Linked DNA regions of Coturnix japonica. The protein of the gene in region 3 purifies or fractionates together with the protein of the main gene of each other region. This does not show direct contact. Links are inferred from orthologs where the notes say so. Each region holds a gene or a part of one and is shown on either strand. Other genes may lie near its edges.

Region 1 (2,983 bases), on a different chromosome or scaffold from region 3:
TGATTGTGACTGGCGTTCTCTCCTTGCTAGCATAAGGACACAACATGGCTTCCATAAAGGCATTTCACATTATACCAGCTCAGCTGATTGCTCACTACTTGCTCACTTGTTCAGTAGCATCCTGGCAAAATCAGCGTTGGACATCTTTTTAGGTTCCTCAGTGCATTCAGATGAAGTTGCTGGTGAATTCTGGACCACCCCATTCTCAGCCTTAGCCACAGGATTAGTCTGGCGTTGCAATGCTCGAGGCATCATTGAAAGCTGTGTCCTTCCCTTCCCTCGCCTGGAAAGCAAAAAATGGCACTTAGAAACATCCTAATGCTCTATGAGCATACTGTTCTAGTCTAGAGAAACAGAAAGCTCTTTGTTTGCTACAGGGAACACCCATTAAATATTATTCTTGCCATTTGTTTCAGTAGTAAGCAGTGCTTTCAATGGACACCCTTTGAAACAGCATTCCTGACAGAAAAAACTGCCCAGCAGATCCCAGAAACTGAAGCTCCATGTTTTATCTACAGGGCATGCACAGAGCGACAGCAATTGCAAGCAGCAAGAGCACTCGGGAGGCAAAAGAGTAGCCTCAGAACTCACTGTGAACAGTCAGCTCTTTGGAAGAAGAGGCTGTGAAAGTTAAAAGGGCTCAGGTATGAACAACACACCCCAGGATGTCCAATGTATCCTCTTGGTCACTATAGACCTATTTCTATCGCTAATGTGAAGAAGAAAAGTCTACTTTTCCTCATCAATCAATTACTACTATTATTATTCAGTACATTTTAGATGTTCCCTCACATTCCAGAGGGAATTCCTACGTTTTTGCCTACAAAGAAACCCAATGTTTGCTTTCTAAGCATGGCCAAGCTGTCTCCCTTGCCAGTACTCACGCTCCATAGATCTGCCGTGGTACTGCAAACTGGGAGGCTCTGCCTGCCTCAGTCTTGTCTGGCAGCTTTCGGAGAGGTGGGTTACTGATTGCCACCTTGATGACGTGTTCCTTAATTGTCAGCCCATCCATTTTCAGCACAGCCTGCGAGGCCTGGGCTTCGTTTTCAAATTCCACATAGGCCAGGCCCTAAATAAGGAAAGAGGTAACCCACGTTAGTTTTAGTGCTTCTTCCTCTGCATGACAGCTGGAATAGAAAACACCACACAGAAAGTGGAGCTAAACAAAGCCACAAATCCCAGTATTCTTTAAGACTAACTAAAGAGAAGTTCTTTCTTACGCAAATCTATATCCTACATTCTTTCTTCATGTATAATGAAGAAAGATCCCAATAAAATGTCACGAAGTATTGCCTCAGCAACAAGGCTTCACTTCTAAATATCTATTATACATCCATCCAGGATACATCTGGTATTGGACAGATTTGGGTTCACAGGGGGTGAAAACACATAAATCCACACAGATAGAACAGAAGGATCCACAAAAACACTCTCAGTTTGCATCTACAGAAGCAAGCCCACTAATGTAGGCCCACCTGAGTTTCATGTGGAGTAAAAGCCACCCCAAGCAGCAATAACAACATAAAGGCACTGATTTTAAGAGACTGGAATCACTGCCTCCAGAACAGAGACTGATGACAAAAGCCTGTTTTGCAGGAAATGAATCTGTGTTGCTTTCACAAGGTAACAGCTGCTAACCACCTGCTGCTGGTACACCTTGAGTAACGGTGTCTTGTTTCCAGCAGAGCAAAGGAAAAGGCCTCCCCTTGGCATCTGCTGTACCAGGCTGCTATCAGGGAGTGCACTATGGCTGGGAGGCATCACCTCCCAGTTCTCTTATTGTGATTCTTAAGTCCCACTCAAACCCTTATGCTGTGTTTTTGGATTATCCAGTTTTGCAGGACTGGAAATACACCAGGATTCATATTTGATTCCAGTGTATTTAATTGTGGTTTAAATAAAATCACAGCTCTCACAGCAGAGAACACAGACTACACAAGGCTTGGGATACCAAAAGAGAACTCTTTAGAATATATGCTCCAAATATTAACAGAAGTTAAAAATCCAATTTAAAATGCATACACATCACCACCAGCATGGCACCTGGTGGAAGTGCCTGACATCCAGACAGGGCAGAGTTTCCAGGTGGAATTTTGGCAGTACAGCCAAAACTGGTTTAGTTCTTAGTTAACAAACACCCATTTATTCCAGCATGGAAATAACACCTGCCAGAAAGGTGTCTCATTTCTCACTGCCAAATGTACTATTGCAACAGGTGCCCTGAACAATAGCATCAAGAAACTGAAGATAGAGGAAGAAAGGAATCAGTTACAAGTGAACTCTATCCAGTTGGTTATTCAGAAACAAATATTCTTTGCAGGTTTACGAATGCCTCTTTCTAAGTTGAAAATGCTGTAGATAACCTTTCCTCCTCCCCATTAGATCACACACTTTTCTTAAGCAATTGAATAAGTATTTCAGGAAAAAAAATTCTCATTGTCCTCTTTTTCTTATCTGTTGGCATAAAAGCACACTGGGTTGTACAAAGGCTGACAACAATAATCATTCAGTGTACTTGCATTAAGCTATATGACCTACTTTTTGTATCCAGATCTTATGAAAAGTTTCTTTTTGAAGGATTTCATTGAAATTAAGAGTGTATTAATGATGCCTACCTTGGGTTTTCCAGCTCGGTTGGTGACCAGCCTAATGTCTTTCACATTCCCATGGGCTTTACATATATCTTCCAGCTCTTCCTTAGTGCAGGAAAATGGCAAACCAGATATAAACAGTTTGTGTTTCTCCAGTGTGGTACTATACCTGAACACCTGCAGAAATTAACAGGCTGTTAGTTCTCAAATCAGTTTGAAACAAAGGGAATTTCAACCTACTATAAAATACTCAAGCGTTTGGGGTTACATTTCTGTGATTAAAACAACAACCCATTAAAGACATGAGCAGCACCTTGACAGATACACAACGATGCTCAATTAGGAAGCCAGGTCCCACTGTTCAATTAACTCCTTATTCCAACATATTC
Region 2 (3,049 bases), on a different chromosome or scaffold from region 3:
ATGCCCTGCAGGCTAAGCAGCCTGATGGGGCAGCTTTACGGTTCAGCCTGGGTTTCTATAAATAGTGTTCTTGGTTTGGAGCTTTTCATTAGGAATGAAACTTGCAAAGTGATTTGCAAGTCCGGACTAGAATGCTGTGCTTAAAATTGAAAACGCAGGATGAGCAATGCAAGCACTAACATAAAAGGCAGCTTGTTTTCGGAGTGGCTTACTCTCTCCACTCCTCCAAATTATACTTATTTGCATTCTCATCTCTTTAATCCTGGCTACAAAACAACGTTCTTCATTAGGGAAGCGTGCAATGTATCTTGAAGCATTTTCTCTAGCCACAATATATTACAGCAGTGTCCCCAAACCTAAGCAGGGTGTGAAGCAGTTTGGGCAGCATCAGCACATCATGAAACCCAGAGTCCTCCAGTTCCTTTGCAAATAGCTTGTAAGTCAGTGGGCATCGATGTGATGGTGTCAGTGTTCTGCCCCTGTGCTGGTATGACACTGCTTCTTATGGCCTTGTTGGTTCCCAGTGCTTATAGCCTTGGTAAGCTAACACAGTAGCAGCTACTAAATAAAGTGATGCACTTCTGTGCTTATTTATGATGGTAGGGGGAAAAAAAAACAAGCAGTAAAAAGGGTAGATGGTCTTTAATGCATGCAAACCTCTGCTGTCATGCTGCTGCCCTCCTGCGGTGGAACACAGAGCTTTACCCAAAGGCTTGCAGGATGCTGAAGCCCAGTATGTGCTACTATGCCAAGTCTTTAATCAGCTGTACAAGAACAGGAATGAAATACCAAGTGACCTTTTCTCCACATGATCCTCATCTTCCACCACTATATCACTTTTTGCCATGGATTGCAGAGCTCTGCAGCACGGTTAGCTGAGGAACTTAGGTGGTTTAAAACTTCCTATTTGAAACTTGTCCCTGCTTGCATTGCATGCGGTGAGTTTATTTAAGCACAGTTGTAACTCCAGGGCCGTGACCTCAGCTGGCTCTTGGCGTTGCACAGGAAGCCAGGTGAAACTGAAGAGCCAGTTGTAAATGAAAACTGTGATTTATTTAAAAACCATCTTCCATCCTTTGCAAAGACATCTTGTTCACAAGCTGCACTGTAATACACAACCTTTTGCCTTGAACTCTTCCAAGGGGCAGCATGGAGGAAACTTGTTCTTTGTGATTACAATGCTCTAGATGGGGAATTTTGCTCTGAAAAATGATTGTAGATGTTTACAGTGTAGCATTGCTATCACAGTAAGGGCAATGTAGCATTTGTTTTTAACAGTAGTTTCTGTTTCATTCGCTAAAACCCACTGTTGTCTCTAGGAAAGCCACACCTGGAGCAGCAGCCATGTATGCAGAGCAATGCCGTTTATTGTCAGTTAAATATGTTGAAAGGAAACAGTTTGGTTTGAGTTGTACGTTATATTACCCCCCAAAAAATATACCCAAAGAACAAAACCCAACCTCTAAGGATTACGTGAAGTCTTTGAGGGGATTATGGAAATTGCTTGATCTTCTCAGTCACTCATTGAATGTGTATCAGGAGCCTTATTTATCACTAAGCAGTCTGATAACAGGAGCAGCAAAATGAAGACTCAAGTCCTTAGTCCAGTTTTTCCCCTTATACGAACTTCTGTTCACAAACCTTATTCTGTAAGTTGCATTCAGCACAGAGAAGCTGAAATGTGGTGTCAAGTGAACTTCTCTCAGCTTTCAGCATGCTGCAGAAAAGCCTCTGAGCTGCTCTCAGCTCCAAGCAATGCTGAGCATTACAGGTCCTGGTATTTCAGCATGTCATGCACCATCACAAAGATGTTTAATGACTGCAGCTGAGATCCTTATCATACAGCATATGTGACGTATCACACCAAGCACTGGTACTGATACCCACCAGTGGAGCAGAAGTGCACATACAGTGCTCACAGTGGGATTATTTGCAATAGAAGATGCAAAAAACCAACCTACACTGACTGTGGCACTACAGACAACAAGGAAACTCTTCTACCCTTAAAATTCCAACACGTTTTCCTGCCCCATTGGAAGGAAGTATTTCAACAGTGAACACTTTGCTCAGGTGAGGCTTTTGCATCTACCTCAGTAAAGGTGGTTCCTTTTTACCTCCCCAAATAATCTGTTTCTATTCATTCTGTGAGTGGTTTGAAGAAACAAGTCTTTCATTTTATTATACCTAATTCCCTGTTCAAGGCTCCTCTGTGGCTGAAGCCACTATTTCTTTTTCCAGGATAAAAAACTGCAGTCTTTTCACAGGTGAATCCAACTCCTGAGGAGGTGGTACAGTCTGGTTTGCAACTAATTTATGCTTAACTCAAAACTACTACAGGAACCTTCTTAGTCACAAGGTTCAAGGCAGACAATAATCCATAACCACTCCAGTTCACAAACATCGTCGACTTCAGGAGAACCAAAGTAATGCCAGGAAGGAATTTAGACCAATGAGTTTATAAAACTATTCTTTTACACAGTTGATTCCGGAAGCTTCACCAGTTGGTATGGGGACAGTGTGATGTAAAACCTGATGATCCCATCCAATTGTAGTGAGCAAGGCATTGTCTGAAGGAGACCATGATAAACCTTTGACAAAGTCTCGATGAGAACGGCTTCTGAACCTGGAAAACAGAGCAATCAGCCATGAAGCAATGAAGCAATGCTGCTATGAATATATGGGTTTGAACACTTCCTAATTACTTGTTTGTTAGGACAACGTTCCCCAGTTTAAGGAGTATTTTCATCTTCCCTTTGGTACATAAATAATTAGTGAGAAATCAGCAAGAGAAACAGCCCCAGTGAATACACTGTCTGGTACTTACACCTCTGAAAGGTCTGAGTTGAGAACAGCTACTGTACAATCTTCACTGATGGAAGCCAGCAAAGGTGAGCTATAGGGCAGAGAAGAGACCACAGTTAGAACAATTAAATACACAAAAGCTTTAATGAAAAAAATGCTTTACTCTGGCATTTGAGTGTACGTAGTTGTACACCCTACACCCCTGTTTTAGACAGTACCTATGTGCAGAAAATGCAAAGCCCGTAAT
Region 3 (4,804 bases):
CAACAGACACCAGAAGTTTGGTGGGGCCGTGTTCTGTAACCAGCCAGGAGGGGCAGAACCAGACAGCTTCAGAGACTCCCTTAAGCTCCTGCCCAGCCCAGGAACGAGGCTCATCCCTGGCACGTCTCCTTTCTGCTCTTTGGCAGAGGCTGACTTAGAAGCCAGACAACACTCACTCAACTCGATCTTGCACAGGAGCAGCTCCAGCTTCTCATAGACCAACAGCTCTGGGTTCAAAACTGAGAAGCATCATCCCTTCCTTGCACAAGAGGTGGAATTTAAAGGCAGGAATCCCAGTCACCCCCTCTCTGAACTGAAAAGCAAAAAGGATCGTTACCTCGTCCAGCACCTCCAACACCGCGGCCTTTCTGCTGCTTCTGCTGTTGCATCCCACCACGGCCTCTGCCTTTGGAGACCACCTCTTCTTTCACCATGTCAATTATCTCATCGGGGATCCGAAGGTATTTAATTGTGCTGCCACGGATGTAACACTCTGGCATCCTCCAGAACTTGTCACCATCCTATTGGGAAGCAACGTGTTAAGCTGAGAACAAAACCACGTGCACTTAAGTTGCTTTTTGACACTTGAATATCTCCATCACTTCTGAAGCGTGCGACAGATGTAATAGTCTATTCTGAATGTACAACCCATAATTAGCTGTGAAATTCCTGTTTTCCCTTTAAAACACGCAGCCCTACAACCTGCTGGGGAGTCAGGGGGCGTTCAGCCATGAGCCACTGCAGTTTCAGCCCGTTCACAACCGCCTTTGACTCTCACAGAAAGTGAAGGAAGAAGAGGAAACAGCACCTTCCCTTTGCTTCTCATACAAGAAGAGAATCGAAAGTGGGACTGGAGAGGGAAATGTGGTAAGTTCAACACAGCTGCTGCAACACGGGGCAGTTCCAGCACATAAAGCCCCAACCAGAGTCACCTACAAACTGAACCCCTTTGTGGTGTGGATTGAGCAGCGAGGAGCATCCAGCTGGGTGTGGGGTGAGCCCAGCAGCGCACAGGAACCGCGGCTGTGGAAAATAAGAGCTTACAGATCACGTTCAAAGAAACCTTCGGGTGCCAAGTTACGGAGCAGCTGCCTCTGTGTTTTGTTTAAGGCAGTTTCAGGGCTTTGCTAGGACACAGCCCATCAGGGCTTCAGCTCCTGTGGCTGTGGGAATAGGAACTGCATGTGAAAGTTGAACAACAACTGATGTAAGCGGGAGGAGGGATGGAACCTCGTGCGCACGGCCGTGCTCTGCTGCAGGGCTTGGCTGAACACAGGCTCCTCACAACTATCACACATGGACAGAGTGTCCACAACATCCCAGAGGAGTGGGTGAAACCAGAATGCCTCGTTTCACCTCTCCAGAATCAAGTTGTACCCCCCTCCTCCTCTGCTCCGGTGTTATTTGGGGCAATGCAGCATGCACAGGCAAGTTCCGTGTGTGTGAGACAAGCAGCCTTCTTCAAACAGGCACCCAGCAAACCCCACCCTGCCTGGATCCGCCCGGCTGCACTTTGGCTCTCTATGCAGGAAGGGATGGAGCCAGGTCCCCGGCTTCCTCGTTCCAGCTCCCCATGTAAACAGCTGCCGCAGCTCCATGCCATCTAGTGGCTGATCCCCACCGTGCCACCAGGAAGGCTTCCATATATACCCCCCCAGTAGCACCCAGGGGGTATTTAGGGGTGGGGAGTGAACTGCAGACCACTCGGTGGGTATAAATGCTGAAGTGCTCTGCCCACAGCAACACAAAGCTGCTTAATGAGGAAGCAGTATTAAAGGCCGGCATCCCTTGTTCTGCAAGCACTAGTAAGGCTTTGCCACTTGCCACCCCTTCCCATTGAACTTATCTGTTTATCTGCCCCAACAATCTGTGGATCCAGATTTTTAGGGCTCACTGCTCTGCTGTTATGATCCTTCTTAAACCTTTGCTTTGTTTAAGTACACACATCACATCTCCGTGCCCCAGCACTATTGGCCAATACCTTCCTGCTGTGGGTCCAACAGGCACAGAAACCCTTCCTGAAGAAGAAGGGTTTCCCTGACAGCCTCCCCCACAGACCCGTGATGTTCCCAGGCACAGAGAGCAGCAGCAGCAGCAGGAACGTGGCCAGGCACAGGCTGCCAGGGACAAGACCAGACACTTGAGGCTGAGGTCAGAGCTCAAAGCACAGATCCCAATCTCTTCTCGGAGCACTTTGGCCATGGGCAAAAGTAGCAGACGAGGCACAACCCGGTTAAACAAGAGGCCCTAATAACTTTTGATGTGGAGTTACAGGGCGTGAGGCAGGTGATGATGAAAGGCAGCACTGTGCTCGATGGGGCTGCATGGAGCGGGCAATGGGACAGGACCTGTCACCAGCCCTTCACACTGAGCACCTTCACCCTGCTGTCAATGGGCTCATTCGTTTCTTACACCTCATAACTGCGTTACATTCACATTCAAAGCAAAAGCAACACACACAGAAGGGTGAGGATCTCTGCGAGTCCCACTCAGCTGCAGGGCTGGGGGCTGATAGCAATGTGGGGTCTATGGGCGCAATGGGGGGTCTATGGGCGCAATGGGGGGGGTCTATGGGCGCAATGGGGACAACTCATTCCTGATCTGCTTTGATGCTGTTCAAAGTAGGGGGTCTATGGGCGCAATGGGGGTCCTGGCATTGAGCTGGTTACCCGTGAGGTGCAGATGACCTCCCGCAGGTTGATGTTCATCCAGTTGTCGCAGCTCACCAGGTGCCCGTTGTACGTCTCGCCGTTCTTCAGCTCCACCAGCTGGAAGAAGCAAAGGGGGGGGGTCAGCATGAAGGAACCGGGACCGACGGGGCGGCACGGGGACCCAACGGGACCCGACGGGGCGGCACCGGGCCCATAGGCCGCAGCGGGAGTGGGCCGGGACTCACCATAGGGTGGTTCTGCGCCGTCTTCAGCAACGACAGGGGCAGCTGCGGGGGAAAGAGAGAAAGGCCTCAACAACCGGGAACCGGGACCGCCTCGGATCCCCATGTAGGGGCTCAGGGAGTACCGGGACAACCGAACCGGCCCGGCCCGGCCCATTCCCGCACTCACCATCGTGCCGGAACCGCGGAGCCGCCGCCGCGCCGGGCGCTGCCGCTCAAACCACCCCCGGCCCCACACGGGACCAATCAGAGCTCGGCGCGGTCCTCGCGGAGCCAATCAGCGTGCAGGACCCGCCTCGGCCGTAAAGCATCGCCGAGGTTGGCGGTGCACAGCGTCACGACAGTGCCGTAAATTGAAACGCCGAGCGGGAAGCGGCACGGAGCGGCGCTCAGGAGGCGCTCTAGGCAGCGAGGCGGCGCGCACTCTATGGTCGCGCGGGGCCGCTCTGGTCCTCGGGGCGGCGCGTATTCTATGGCCGCGCGGGGCCGCTCTGGGCGTCGGGGCGGAGCGCGCTCTATGACCGTGCGGGGCCGGTCGCTCAGTGCGGTGCGGGAGCGGAGATGGAGAAACCGCGGAGGGCGGTGGTGGTAACGGGTACGGGCGGATGGAACGAGACCGGGGGGTGGGGAGGGGACGGCAGGGTGGGCTCTGATTCCATTATCTCAACGGGGGGGATGCGGGATTGGGAGGGGGCGGTGAGGGGCACATGGGGGTGTCGGGGTCCTGGTGGGGGTGTACGGGGATTGGGAGGGGCGCGACGGGGCTGCGGCGTGTCACAGACCCCTCCGGTTATACCCCCCCCCCCCGGTCCCCGCTGTATTTGTCCCATCTCTTGCCCCGGGGGGGTTGGGGGGTGGTCTCTGCTTCAAACATTCAGAGCTGATGGTGCTGGATCTGCCCCTGATGGTCGCACTGAGACCCCATTGCAACCCCATGAAGGTCTGCAGGGTGGGCTCAGTGCTGTGTGCCCGGCAGGACCCTGTGCTGGGTGTGGGGTGGCTGAGGCTGGGTTTGGTGCTACCCATAAAGTTGCTCATCTGATATGCAAGGAATCGATCTGGGGGTCGGTGTGGAGGATGAGTGAGGGGGCAGCTCAGTTGGGTTCAGAACGAGAGGTTTTGGTTACATTGGGGTACCTGGAAAGCTGGTGTGATTCATATTGAAACCATCCCAATGAAACACCTGTTTGGTGCTCTCACATCTATAGCTTATATATGGAGAAACAACAAGTGCATTAGGATCCTGTGGGAGCCTTCAGGAGGGTTATTATGGGGAGATATTGATGCTGGTTCCGCTTGGAGGCTCAGGTTGATACTGAGATCCCATTGAGCTGTACAAAGCCCTGTTGCTGTTGTGTGCGGTGTAACCTCAGCCCTCCCCTTCTGCTGGCAGCACATGGGAGGTTTCCATTAGTGTGTCATGTAATATTTGTGGTCCTGACTTAGATGCAGTGCGTGCCTTCTGATTGCATTAGGCTCACAGGGTAGCTCTGCCATCTGAAATTAAAGCATATCGATCCCACGCCCAGATAAATGCCCAACCTTTGTGTGCTCGCTCAGGGAAAGATGTGATGGGTTACTAGTTAACTCCGAGTTACTCATTAGGAAATGCAGATTTGGGGACGTAAGTGTTTTTATAGCGTTGTGTAACCTTTGGTGCTCGGTGCAGGTGGGTCAGCAGTGCTTTGTTTGGTTCCTATTAAGGCAGAAGGGATTTTGGTGAAGGTGTGAGCAGAGAAATGCTGGATGGAGACTTGTCTGTGTTTGTGGGCTGTTACAATCAGGGTTAGAAGATCCAATCATGATCCCCATTCTATGCCATCACTCAGCTCCTCCATAGCTAACAAGTGTTCCTAACCTGGTCAGCAATACACCCCCAGTAGGGACTGGGTGTTACAAGCAGTGGCTTTT
Region 4 (4,981 bases), on a different chromosome or scaffold from region 3:
GGGTGTGGGACGAGGACAGGGAGGGGTCGCGGTGGCCCCTGTGCGGCGGGGGGGGGGGCCGGCCGGGTGCCATCTGCTCGCATCTGGCCAGCGGGAATTAACGGATTGCGGGGCTGGGCCGTGGGCGGGGATGGGGACAGGGATGGGGCGCTCCATCGTGGGGCTTTGTGGCCCCCAATTTCACCCCACGGCGGCTCCACGCGAGCTCCCCTCTGCCCCGCATCCCCCCTTGCCATGACCGCGGTGTCGTGCCCCGGCCACCCCCACCCCTCCCATTTCTGGGGTAAAAATAACACTAATCCCCCGCTCCCCCCCGATGGTGGGCAGCGCCTCCCTTAATCCCCGCTAAATCCCCCACGGGCAGCACGGAGGCCGCGGGGCAGCGCAGCGTGAGGAGCACCCCAAGAACCCTAAAGGAGGACAGGGGGCCCCACGCGTGTCCCACATCCCTTCCTGCGCCCCATAGCGAGGACGCAGCCAACCCAAACCCTCCCAGGGCTCAAACCCCCGGTCCCCTCCAGCCGTAGGGCAGCACCCATCATTGGGTACCCCCACGGGTGACCCCCATTGCTGCCCTGCACCCCTCACCGCCCGGAGCTGCTCCAGCCGGTCCCGCATGGTGCCGGGCTGCCAGGACTCGCCGCCCGCCCGCTGCCGTCCTACATCAGCCCCGCTAATCCCCGCTGATGGGCACTCGACGAGGGCAAGGCTGAGGCGGGGCTGCCCGCACCAGCCACGTGTGATCCAGGCACCCGAGGGGGGGTGACAAAGGTGCCAGTGACAGCAGTGTCACCACAGCCTACAGGTGGCCCCGGCACAGGATGGGGGACAGGGGGTGGTGAGGGACAGGGGGACACGGCCATGGGTAGGGGATGTGAGTGGTGGGATGTGGGTTGGAGGACAGGGACATGGATAAGGGATGGGAGTGTTGGGACACGAAGTGGGGACACGGCTATGGGTGGAGGGAACGGGCGGGGGGACACAAGGTGGGGATGTGGCTGAGGGTGAAGGACGCGGGCCGTGGGACGTGGCCATGGATGGGAGGCACGGGTTGGAGATGTGGCTCACAGTAGGGGACACGGGCCGGGGCTGTGGCCATGGTTAGGGGACATGAAGCGGGGGACATGGCCGTGGGTAGAGCACATGAACTATGGGATGCAGGTTGGGGGGACGTGGCCGTGTATAGGGGGCTCGAACTTGGGAGAACGGCCACGGTTAGGGGACGTGAGCTGGGGGACGTGTCCGTGGGCAGGGGTCCCGCGTGGGGGGACACAGGCTGGGGGACACGACTGGAGGGAAAGACCCAGCGGACATCGCTGAGCCGTGGCTGGCGTGTGGGGCACGGCTGGGGCAGCAGCGCGCGGCCGGGGCACGACGGCGCACGAGTGCACGGAGGCGGTCAGAAAAAGGCGGCCTGTCCCTTTAAGAGCCGCCCGCAGTGGGGCGCGGCGCTCTGTGAGCCTTCGGCTGGGCGGAGCTCATTTGCGCATGCGCACCGCACGGACGGGCGGAGGAGGTGACGTCATGCGCGTGCGCCCGCGGCGGCGCATGCGCGGCGGGGCCGTAGCGGGCCGCGCGGAGCCTGCGGGCGGGGGGCGCCGCCGCCGCCGCCATGTTCCGGTACCCGGTGAGCGGGGGGAGGGGCTGAGGGGGCTGAGGGGGCGGGGTCGGGCCGCGGGGGTCGGAGCTCGGGACTCCGAGTTGGGTTCGGGGCCGCGGCTACGGGCTCAGGGTCAGGGCCGTGGGGCCGCGGGTCGGGCTGAGGGTCGAGGCTGTGGGCTCAGGGCCGAGAGTCGGTGTGGGCGCTGTGCTGGGACCGCTGCTCGGGACCGGGGCTGCCGGGCAGGGCTGGGCCTTGGCCTCGGTGGCAGCGCCGGTTCGGTAGTCGTGGTGGTACGAAGGCACCGTCTGCCGCTGCAGTCCCTGGAGGAGTGCCCGCTGGACGAGGAGGAGGACGGCTTCCAGGTGCTGGGCGAGGAGGATGAGGACATCGATCAGTTCAACGATGACACCTTTGGGGCCGGGGCTGTCGGTGAGTTCTCTGTCTCTTGTCCACACTGCCCACCCGGTGCTCTCTGCCGCTGCGCTCAGCCCGCCGTTCCCGTGCAGATGATGACTGGCAGGAGGCCCACGAGCGGTTGGCTGAGCTGGAGGAGAAACCCGTGGGCTCAGGGCAGCAGGCCCAACCCAGCAGTGAGGATGCGGAGCTGCTGGGGGAACCTGAGGATGCGCTGGCGGAGCGACTGACACGGCTGGTGATCGAGAGCGAGCTGGAGGACCCTGCCATCATGAGAGCCGTGCACACCCGTGGGTCTGCTGCACAGAGCGTGACGCTCAACACCAGCATCTGGGATGGCCCCTCTGTGCTGCAGCGCATCCGCACGCCACTGCTCACACAGGTAGGGGCACAACGCTGGGCACACGCAACGAAGGGTTGCAGGAATGGGGGAGGGTTGAGTGTTAGGAAGAGGTTCTTCACCACAGTGGCTGTAGGTGTGGAGAAGGCTTCCCGGAGAAGCAGGCACTGCCCCACACTACCAGAGCTCGAGGAGTGTTGGGGCAATGCCCTCAGATGTAGGTTTGTGTTTGGGGCGTTCCTATGTGGGGCCGGGGGTTGGACTCAGTGGTCCTGTGGGCCCCTCCCAGCTTGGGATATTCTGTGGCTGTTGGGTGAGCTGCTCTTGGACATCACTTCTAGTCCCTGCACATGCTCCCTCTGGGCTGGGAGATGCCACGCAATCCCTGATGGTGTCAGCACTCAAGATTTGGGATCGTCAGTGCCTCGAGCCATAATTGTTTTCATTGCTGGTTGACAGAGAGTCAGGCTTAATTAAGAGCTGGGCGCAGGATCCTTAGGGCTCTCTGAGAACCCTGGCTGGGGCGTGGGGATCTCCAGCACTGGGAAAGCGCAATGGGGCGGCTCCTCTGTTCTATACCACGTCATATTCAGTGCACCTTGCCACCACGTCCAGCTCTGAGTCTTTTTCACAGGGCCACTTTTACTTTCAGGAGATGCCATCGTTGTCCGTGCTGGACTACGCTCTGCCCCAGAGACCCCCACAGGCTCGGGAGGAGGAGCGGGACCCCTCGGAACGGGCACTGCCACGCCGCTCATCCTCCCCCATCATCGGGAGCCCCCCCGTGCGAGCAGTCCCCATCGGCACCCCACCCAAGCAGGCCACCATGCCCAATTTTAACCAGCAGGTATGGCCCCAACTCCTCACAGCAGGTGCAGACCCCTGCACCCCTGGTGAGGATCCAGCGGTCAGACCCCCACTGCTTTCCTTCTCTCAGATCCTGTGTCCAAAGCCTGTCCACATCCGGGCTACCATGCAGCAGCGCTACTCTGCTCCCTACGGCGAGAGGATGTCCCCCAACCAGCTCTGCAACGTACCGGTACCCCCTGCTCCCACCCCCATAACCCTCTGATGCCCCGACTGCATCATACTGCCTAGGAGGACTGTGACCAAGGGGTCTGCTCCTTTATTTTCCTGCAGAACTCTTCCTTGCTGGGCCACCCGTTCCCTACCAGTGTCTCTCCCGTTCTCACCCACCTGCAGCGGGCACAGCTGCTGGGAGGTGCACAGGTAAAGCCCTAGACTCTGTGCCCCCCAAGGCCCATAGGGGCGAGGGTCCAGCATTCTGATGGACCCTGCCTGATCCGCACTCCCTCTGCCCCACAGGCTGGCCGAATTTCTCCTAGCCAGTTTGCTCGAGTCTCAGGCCTTGTTGGGAGCCCACTACCCTCCGTCAACCCCAAGCTGCTGCAGGGCAGAGTGGGGCAGATGATGGCTCCCACTGGTGGCTTTCGTGCCTTCTTCGGGGCTGGCCCCACTCCGCCCTCACAACCGCAGCCTCCGCCGGGCCCCATGCCTCACCTGCAGGGCCTGAGGTAGGCACTGACCCCCTCATGATCATTCACCTGCCCCACGGCCCTCTAACCCCCTGTGCTCCCCACAGGCCGCAGCCCTTCCGACTGGACACCACCCACCTGCACCCCCAGCACCGCCGGCTCCTGCACCAGCGGCAGCAGCAGAACAGAAAGTGAGCACTGGGCGGGAGGGAGCGTGAGGAGGTGGGCGATGCTCCGGTGCCGGCTGTTCTGGGGGGCCCATGCAGCCGGGGGTAGCCTGTGCACCACTCTCTGTCCCTTCCTGTAGCTCCTGTGTGTTCATGGGTGCCCTTCTTGCCTCCTGCCAGCCAGCACCGTGGCCTCAACGGCTCGGTGGGGGACCGAGGGGGCCACCGGGGCAGCCACCAGGAGCAGGTGCGCAAGGACCCCTACGCCAACCTCATGCTGCAGCGGGAGAAGGACTGGGTGTCTAAGATCCAGATGATGCAGCTGCAGAGCACCGATCCCTACTTGGACGACTACTACTATCAGGTATTGGGAGGGAGGGCAGGGGTGGGGCCAGTGGGAGGGAAGAGCCGTCACACCCTGCCTTGAGAAAGGGAGGGCTGAGGAGCATCGGAGAAGATGTTGCTGTCTCTGTGGGTACTGGGATGGAGTGCTCTTGAAGCACTGCTGTGTGAAGGAGAAGCGGGGGGGGAGAGAACTTTGCTCCTGGGGTGCTTACCTGACCTTTCCTGTCCCTGTCCCAGAACTACTTCCAGAAGCTGGAGAAGCTGTCAGCAGCTGAGGAAGATGGTCCCAAGAAGGAGCGTACGAAGCTCATCACCCCTCAGGTGGCAAAGCTGGAGCACACCTACAAGCCAGGTTAGTGCTTCCTTCCCCAGCTCTGTGGGCAGGGAGAACAGTCTCACCCCGGGAGCTGGCTCCCTGCATCCCATGCCCCGTCCTGCAGTGCAGTTTGAGGGCTCTCTTGGGAAGCTGACGGTCTCCAGTGTGAACAACCCTCGGAAGATGATCGATGCAGTGGTGACCTCCCGTGGAGAGGATGATGTGAGTGCTGCCCTTTCCTCCCAGTCCCGTGCCTTGCACCTCTACCCTGACCTCCCCTCTGCCCTGGGCAGGAGACAA
Region 5 (4,742 bases), on a different chromosome or scaffold from region 3:
CCCCATAAACGCTGTGTCCCCCCCCCCCACCTTTGGCGCTGTGCTGAGGGGTCCCCAGCAGTTCGTAGCTGGCAAAGCCGACCTCGGGGGAGGTCAAATAGGAGGGAAACTGCTCCGGGCGGAGGCGGATGCGGTGGTAGTTCCGGTACGTTGTCTCCTGTGAGGTGGAGAGGGTTAAAATGGGGAGGGGGCCACACAACTAAAGGCCCCATAACCCAACTATGAGCTGAGGGGAGGTTATAAGGGGTTCTGTGGGGGCAATGGGGTGTTGGAAGGAATTAGGAGAGGGATCTGGGGCTTTTGGAGCGGGGTTTGGGGGATTATGGGGCTGCAGTGGAGGATTGGGGGGGGTTGTCTTGGTGAGTTAAGGGGATTTGGGGGGAGGGTTATAGGGCTCCAATGAGGGGGTTGGGAGGATATGGGTGGGAAGATCTTAAAGAGCTGAAGGCTCTGAGGGAGGTTCCCACAGTCCAGCTGGGGACTTTGGGGAGGGTTATAGGGGTCCCACAACCAAAGGCTCACAGCTGGACCCATCCCACAGACAAGAGCAGACCCCCATCCCGCACCCCCAACCCCCATATCCCCCCCAGTCCCCCATTGGTGCCCCATAACCCCATTCATCTCACCGTCAGCCCCTTCCTCTTGCGGTAGGAAGCCCATGGCTGTGGCTCCAGCAGCAGCAGCCCCCCAGGCCGGAGGTGTCTGTAGGCCCGACGGAACAACCTTTTGAGCCCCTCGTCCCCCCAGTTGAGCTGCACCCATTTGGTCAGGGACAGAACCAGCAGGACGTCGAATTCGGGGCGCTGGGCCCACACCGCCTCCTCTCGTTCGGGGACGTAGTTGCCCTATGGGGTGGATGGGTGGGAGAGAGGTTAGGAGGGGTCTCATGGCAATGGGGAAGAGACTGGGTAGGGGGGGTTAAATAACAGATTAAAGGAGATCTTCAAAAACGATGGGGATTGAACTTAGAAAAGGGGGAGTGGCCCCACCCCTTCATGTACATCCTAATCACAGCCCCTTCAAAGCACCACCCCCTTCCATCGGCACCACCCCTTTAGCCACACCCCCTATTTACCCCCACCCCAACTGTGTCACCTTCCCATTTATTGACCCCAACCCAAACCACACCCCCTCCTTTAGCCCCACCCCTTTCATTTAGCCACACCCCATATTAAAATCAAACCCCTTGTAAAGCCCCACCCCCCAACCACGCCCCCTTTAGCCCCGCCCTTAACCACGCCCCTTAAACCTGCTGTGCCTTTAGCCCCGCCCCCAAACTTAGCCCCGCCCATTCACTCTATGTCACTCTTTTAACCACGCTTCCTTCCTTTAGCCCCGCCCCAACCCAACACCCCGCCCCCTTTCCTTAACCACGCCCCCAACCACACCCCTTCCGTTAGCCCCGCCCCAAACCACGCCCTTTCCCCTTAGCCCCGCCTCTAAACCATGCCCCCCTTTAGCCCCGCCTCTCTAATTGGCTCCGCCCCAAACCACGCCCCCTCCCTTTAGCCCCGCCCCAAACCAGGCTCCCTCCGTTTAGCCCCGCCTCCAAACCACGCCCCCTCCCTTTAGCCCCGCCTCTCTAATTGGCTCCGCCCCAAACCCCGCCCCTGCCCATTAGCCCCGCCTCTCCGATTGGCTCCACCCCCAAACCACGCCCCCTCCCTTTAGCCCCGCCCCCTCCCTTTAGCCCCGCCCCCTCACCGTGACAAACACGACGTTATGGGGGAAGTCGGAGGCTCCGGGCCCGTCGGGGGGCAGCCGTGGGGCAGCGATGGGTCCCCTGCTGGCCAGCAGCGCCGCAGGGAACCCCTTCCTCCCCCCTCCCTCCACGGCGGCCATTTCTTCGGACAGATAATGCCTGATGTTCTGCCGGGCCGAGCGGATCAAGGCCCCGTCAATGTCCAGCCCCACCACTCTGCTGGGCCCCCACCTCTTGGCGATGCTGAGCGTGACGTGCCCCACGTTACACCCCACATCCAGCACCTCCTTCCCGGTGAACCACTCGGCCTTCATGGCTTTCAACCTCCCGTCCTCGCAATCCGGGTTGCGATAGCCGTAATATTTACAGTAATTCCCATATTGGAACTTCTGGCTCTTGCGGCGCCGTGGGGCCGTCGTGGGGGTTTTAGGGCCGTTGTTTCCCCCTTTCCCTTTCTCCGGTGACGCCGTAGATCGGGCGGCCTCTGATTTACTACAAGTCCTTCTCCTCTTACGGTGCCGGCTGTTGGAGCACGTTGTGCTGCTGTTTCCAGCCGTGTTGGTGCTGCTGCTGGCCGTGTTCCCGTGCTCCGTGCTGCTCTCTGGCTCCATACTATTGTTGGTGCTGTTGGTGCTGTTCCCCCGTTGCTGACCCCGGTGGCGATGCCGACGTCGCGTTGCTTTGGCAGGTGATGCCAGACGGAGCCCGTCATCCCCCCCGGGCGCGTTGAGGCTGAGCGGGTCGGTGATGTCCCGCGGGATGAGGATCTCCACGGGGTCCCGTCCTCGTGCCGGTAGCGGTGATGACTGCGGGGTGCGTGCGTTCAGCGTGCGGCTCACCTCCTCGTCCAGGAGACTGTTGAGGTTCAGCGGGTCGAAGATGTTCCCCCCCAGCAGGAACTCGGACGGCAGCGCGGGGTCACATTCCGACGTCGCTCTCCGGCGCCGTTTCCACGGCGGTTGTTTGGATCCGGTGCAGCTGCTCCGCCGTTTTCCCCCCCCTCCGCCCCCCCCGCCGCCTCCTCCGGTCGCTCTGAAGCCGTTCCTGGGTCTCGGGGCCTCCCCCGCTCCGTCCGTTTCCTCCCGTCCCCTCCGCCGCTGGGGCCCGGTGGTGTCGGTGCCGCCCGGTGCAGGCCCGCCCCCCCCCGGTGGTTCTCCGGTCCTTAAAGGCGGCGGAGGGGCCCGGAACGCGTCGGGTTCAGCCGCCATCTCGATCATGGCCCGGCCGCTCCGCCCACCGCCGAGTCCAACGAGCCGGAGCCGGACGGTGCGGCGCGCGCCACCTCCCTCCCGCGATGGCAGGCGAGTCGCACCCTGCGCCTCCTTATATAGCCGAGGGGCGGGGCCACGACGGGCCCCGCCCCCCAACCGATAGACGGCCAATGGCGTGTGGCGCGCGGACGGAGGGCTGCGCCAATCGGTAGGAGGCGGAGTGGGCGGCGGCCAATGGGAGGAAGTGGCGCGCGGAAGAGGGGGGTAGCGACCAATGGCTGCACAGCGCGTCGGGGGCCTCGCGGGGGCCTTGCGGTTCTGGGCTGTCCACGGCGGTGCCTGAACGAAAAGCTACAGCGGCAGCTGGGCTCCCGGCCGTTCCTGGCCGCGGCCGACGCTGCTCCCCGTTATCCCGGACGGTGACGGCGCAGCGCGGGACGCACGGGCGGCAGAGCGGCTGCCTTTCGCCAATGCGCGTGCGCAGACGCCGGGTGCACACGGCGCACGCGTCACCCGTCGGCGCGCGCACGTGACGCATGCGCACAGCCTCGGCGCGCCGCGCATGCGCAGTGGGGCGCCCTCTGTGCGTCGTGCATGCGCACATGTGGCGCGGAGCGCTGAGGGGGAAGCGCGTGCGCACTGAGCGCGCTCCCGCGGCGGGAGGGAAAGCGGAGGCGCGAGGCCGCGTTTTGAGGGAAAAACGGGCGATTTTGGTAAAAAAAAAAGATGTCACCGAAATAACAGCGGCCACAACCCCGGCCCCAACCGCCCAGGCGGCTCCAGGCCCCTCCCTGTGCCGCTGTGAAGGCGCTGAGCCCCCATTCACAGCAGTGCGGCCTATCGAGGCCTGCGCCCAGCTCCAGGCCTGGGGGGGGGGGTTCCATTTATCGGCTCTTTTTGCTCCGGTTCCGTTTATTTTCTCCTCATTCTTTCGCTCCGTGTTAACGAGGGTTAATGGGCTCAGGGGCATTTCCGCTCCACGCACTGCTTGCCCCCCTCCTCGTATTCCTGCTTGGAGATCCACATCTGCTGGAACGTGCCCTGGGAACATGGGGAGGGGTCGGGGGGGGGGAGATGGGGGGGCACAAATCGCTGCCCCCCCCCCACGTTGTTTGTATCGCCCCCAACTCACAAGGGAGGCCAAAATGGAGCCCCCGATCCAGGGGCTGAAGCGCCGCTCCATGGTGCTGTTACTGGCGATCAGCTTCAGGCGCATGCTCTGTGTGAGGGGGGGGAATGAATGGGAGGGAATGGGGGGTACCAGGATGGGCACTAAAAGGGATACTGGGAGGGATTGGAATGGGGATTGAGGACACTGGGAGGGACTGGGGGGCAATAGGGGGCTATAGGGGAGGGAATGGGGTGCAGTGGGGGGGGATCGGGGGTGCTGGGGGGTCAATCGGGATTGAAGGGACTGGTGGACACTGGGAAGGAGTGGGTGGAACTGGGGGGGAACTGGGAGGCGCTGGGGGGGGGCACTGGATGTATTGGGAGCCCAGAAGCCGCCTCCCATTGGGGGGCTCCCATCAACTCACCGGGGGGGTCTTCTGTGACAGCTCCCGGTTGAGGCGGTCGGTGAAGCCCTGCAGCAAAGTGTTCCCCCCCGTGACAATGACGCTGCCATAGAGACCCTGCAGGAGGCAAAACAACAACGGGGGCAGGAGGTGCACGGTCAGTATCACCCCCCCACCCCTGGAAGCCCCCCCTAAATGCTCCCCCCCCCCAGTACTTACCGGCCTGATGTCTATATCACACATCCCAACGCTTGTCGTGACAACGTGACTCACACCCAGCATTGTGTTACCAGATAAACCCTGTTTGATAATGGG

Evidence for each region.
Region 1: the proteins of LSM4 (region 3) and SART3 purify together in Homo sapiens (affinity purification with mass spectrometry; 4 studies listed by BioGRID and IntAct, counting the BioPlex papers as one, with this or other methods). This does not show direct contact. The link is inferred for Coturnix japonica from reciprocal best matches to the Homo sapiens genes LSM4 and SART3.
Region 2: the proteins of LSM4 (region 3) and WDR77 purify together in Homo sapiens (affinity purification with mass spectrometry; 3 studies listed by BioGRID and IntAct, with this or other methods). This does not show direct contact. The link is inferred for Coturnix japonica from reciprocal best matches to the Homo sapiens genes LSM4 and WDR77.
Region 4: the proteins of LSM4 (region 3) and PATL1 purify together in Homo sapiens (co-immunoprecipitation; 4 studies listed by BioGRID and IntAct, with this or other methods). This does not show direct contact. The link is inferred for Coturnix japonica from reciprocal best matches to the Homo sapiens genes LSM4 and PATL1.
Region 5: the proteins of LSM4 (region 3) and MEPCE purify together in Homo sapiens (affinity purification with mass spectrometry; 3 studies listed by BioGRID and IntAct, with this or other methods). This does not show direct contact. The link is inferred for Coturnix japonica from reciprocal best matches to the Homo sapiens genes LSM4 and MEPCE.

The regions. Positions count from the first base shown.
Region 1 is NC_029530.1:5,656,971-5,659,953, forward strand, and holds part of SART3 (squamous cell carcinoma antigen recognized by T-cells 3), read right to left. Parts: intron 2,772-2,983; coding exon 2,619-2,771; intron 1,073-2,618; coding exon 885-1,072; intron 284-884; coding exon 103-283; 3' UTR 1-102. UniProt on the Homo sapiens protein: U6 snRNP-binding protein that functions as a recycling factor of the splicing machinery. Promotes the initial reassembly of U4 and U6 snRNPs following their ejection from the spliceosome during its maturation.
Region 2 is NC_029541.1:3,354,264-3,357,312, forward strand, and holds the end of WDR77 (methylosome protein 50), read right to left. Parts: coding exon 3,021-3,049; intron 2,894-3,020; coding exon 2,825-2,893; intron 2,624-2,824; coding exon 2,464-2,623; 3' UTR 1,032-2,463; downstream 1-1,031. UniProt on the Homo sapiens protein: Non-catalytic component of the methylosome complex, composed of PRMT5, WDR77 and CLNS1A, which modifies specific arginines to dimethylarginines in several spliceosomal Sm proteins and histones.
Region 3 is NC_029543.1:3,005,563-3,010,366, reverse strand, and holds the start of LSM4 (U6 snRNA-associated Sm-like protein LSm4), read right to left. Parts: upstream 3,181-4,804; 5' UTR 3,066-3,180; coding exon 3,063-3,065; intron 2,939-3,062; coding exon 2,897-2,938; intron 2,769-2,896; coding exon 2,670-2,768; intron 522-2,669; coding exon 338-521; intron 1-337. Other genes in the region: PGPEP1 (pyroglutamyl-peptidase 1), read left to right, coding at 3,455-3,488. UniProt on the Homo sapiens protein: Plays a role in pre-mRNA splicing as component of the U4/U6-U5 tri-snRNP complex that is involved in spliceosome assembly, and as component of the precatalytic spliceosome (spliceosome B complex).
Region 4 is NC_029520.1:202,058-207,038, reverse strand, and holds the start of PATL1 (protein PAT1 homolog 1), read left to right. Parts: upstream 1-1,556; 5' UTR 1,557-1,612; coding exon 1,613-1,627; intron 1,628-1,920; coding exon 1,921-2,032; intron 2,033-2,109; coding exon 2,110-2,399; intron 2,400-3,009; coding exon 3,010-3,204; intron 3,205-3,294; coding exon 3,295-3,396; intron 3,397-3,497; coding exon 3,498-3,587; intron 3,588-3,683; coding exon 3,684-3,892; intron 3,893-3,960; coding exon 3,961-4,044; intron 4,045-4,200; coding exon 4,201-4,384; intron 4,385-4,602; coding exon 4,603-4,717; intron 4,718-4,805; coding exon 4,806-4,903; intron 4,904-4,974; coding exon 4,975-4,981. Other genes in the region: syntaxin-3-like, read right to left, coding at 589-618. UniProt on the Homo sapiens protein: RNA-binding protein involved in deadenylation-dependent decapping of mRNAs, leading to the degradation of mRNAs. Acts as a scaffold protein that connects deadenylation and decapping machinery.
Region 5 is NW_015439878.1:132,254-136,995, reverse strand, and holds the start of MEPCE (7SK snRNA methylphosphate capping enzyme), read right to left. Parts: upstream 3,020-4,742; 5' UTR 2,920-3,019; coding exon 1,705-2,919; intron 846-1,704; coding exon 627-845; intron 158-626; coding exon 31-157; intron 1-30. Other genes in the region: ACTL6B (actin-like protein 6B), read right to left, coding at 3,874-3,954, 4,046-4,132, 4,449-4,544, 4,647-4,742. UniProt on the Homo sapiens protein: S-adenosyl-L-methionine-dependent methyltransferase that adds a methylphosphate cap at the 5'-end of 7SK snRNA (7SK RNA), leading to stabilize it.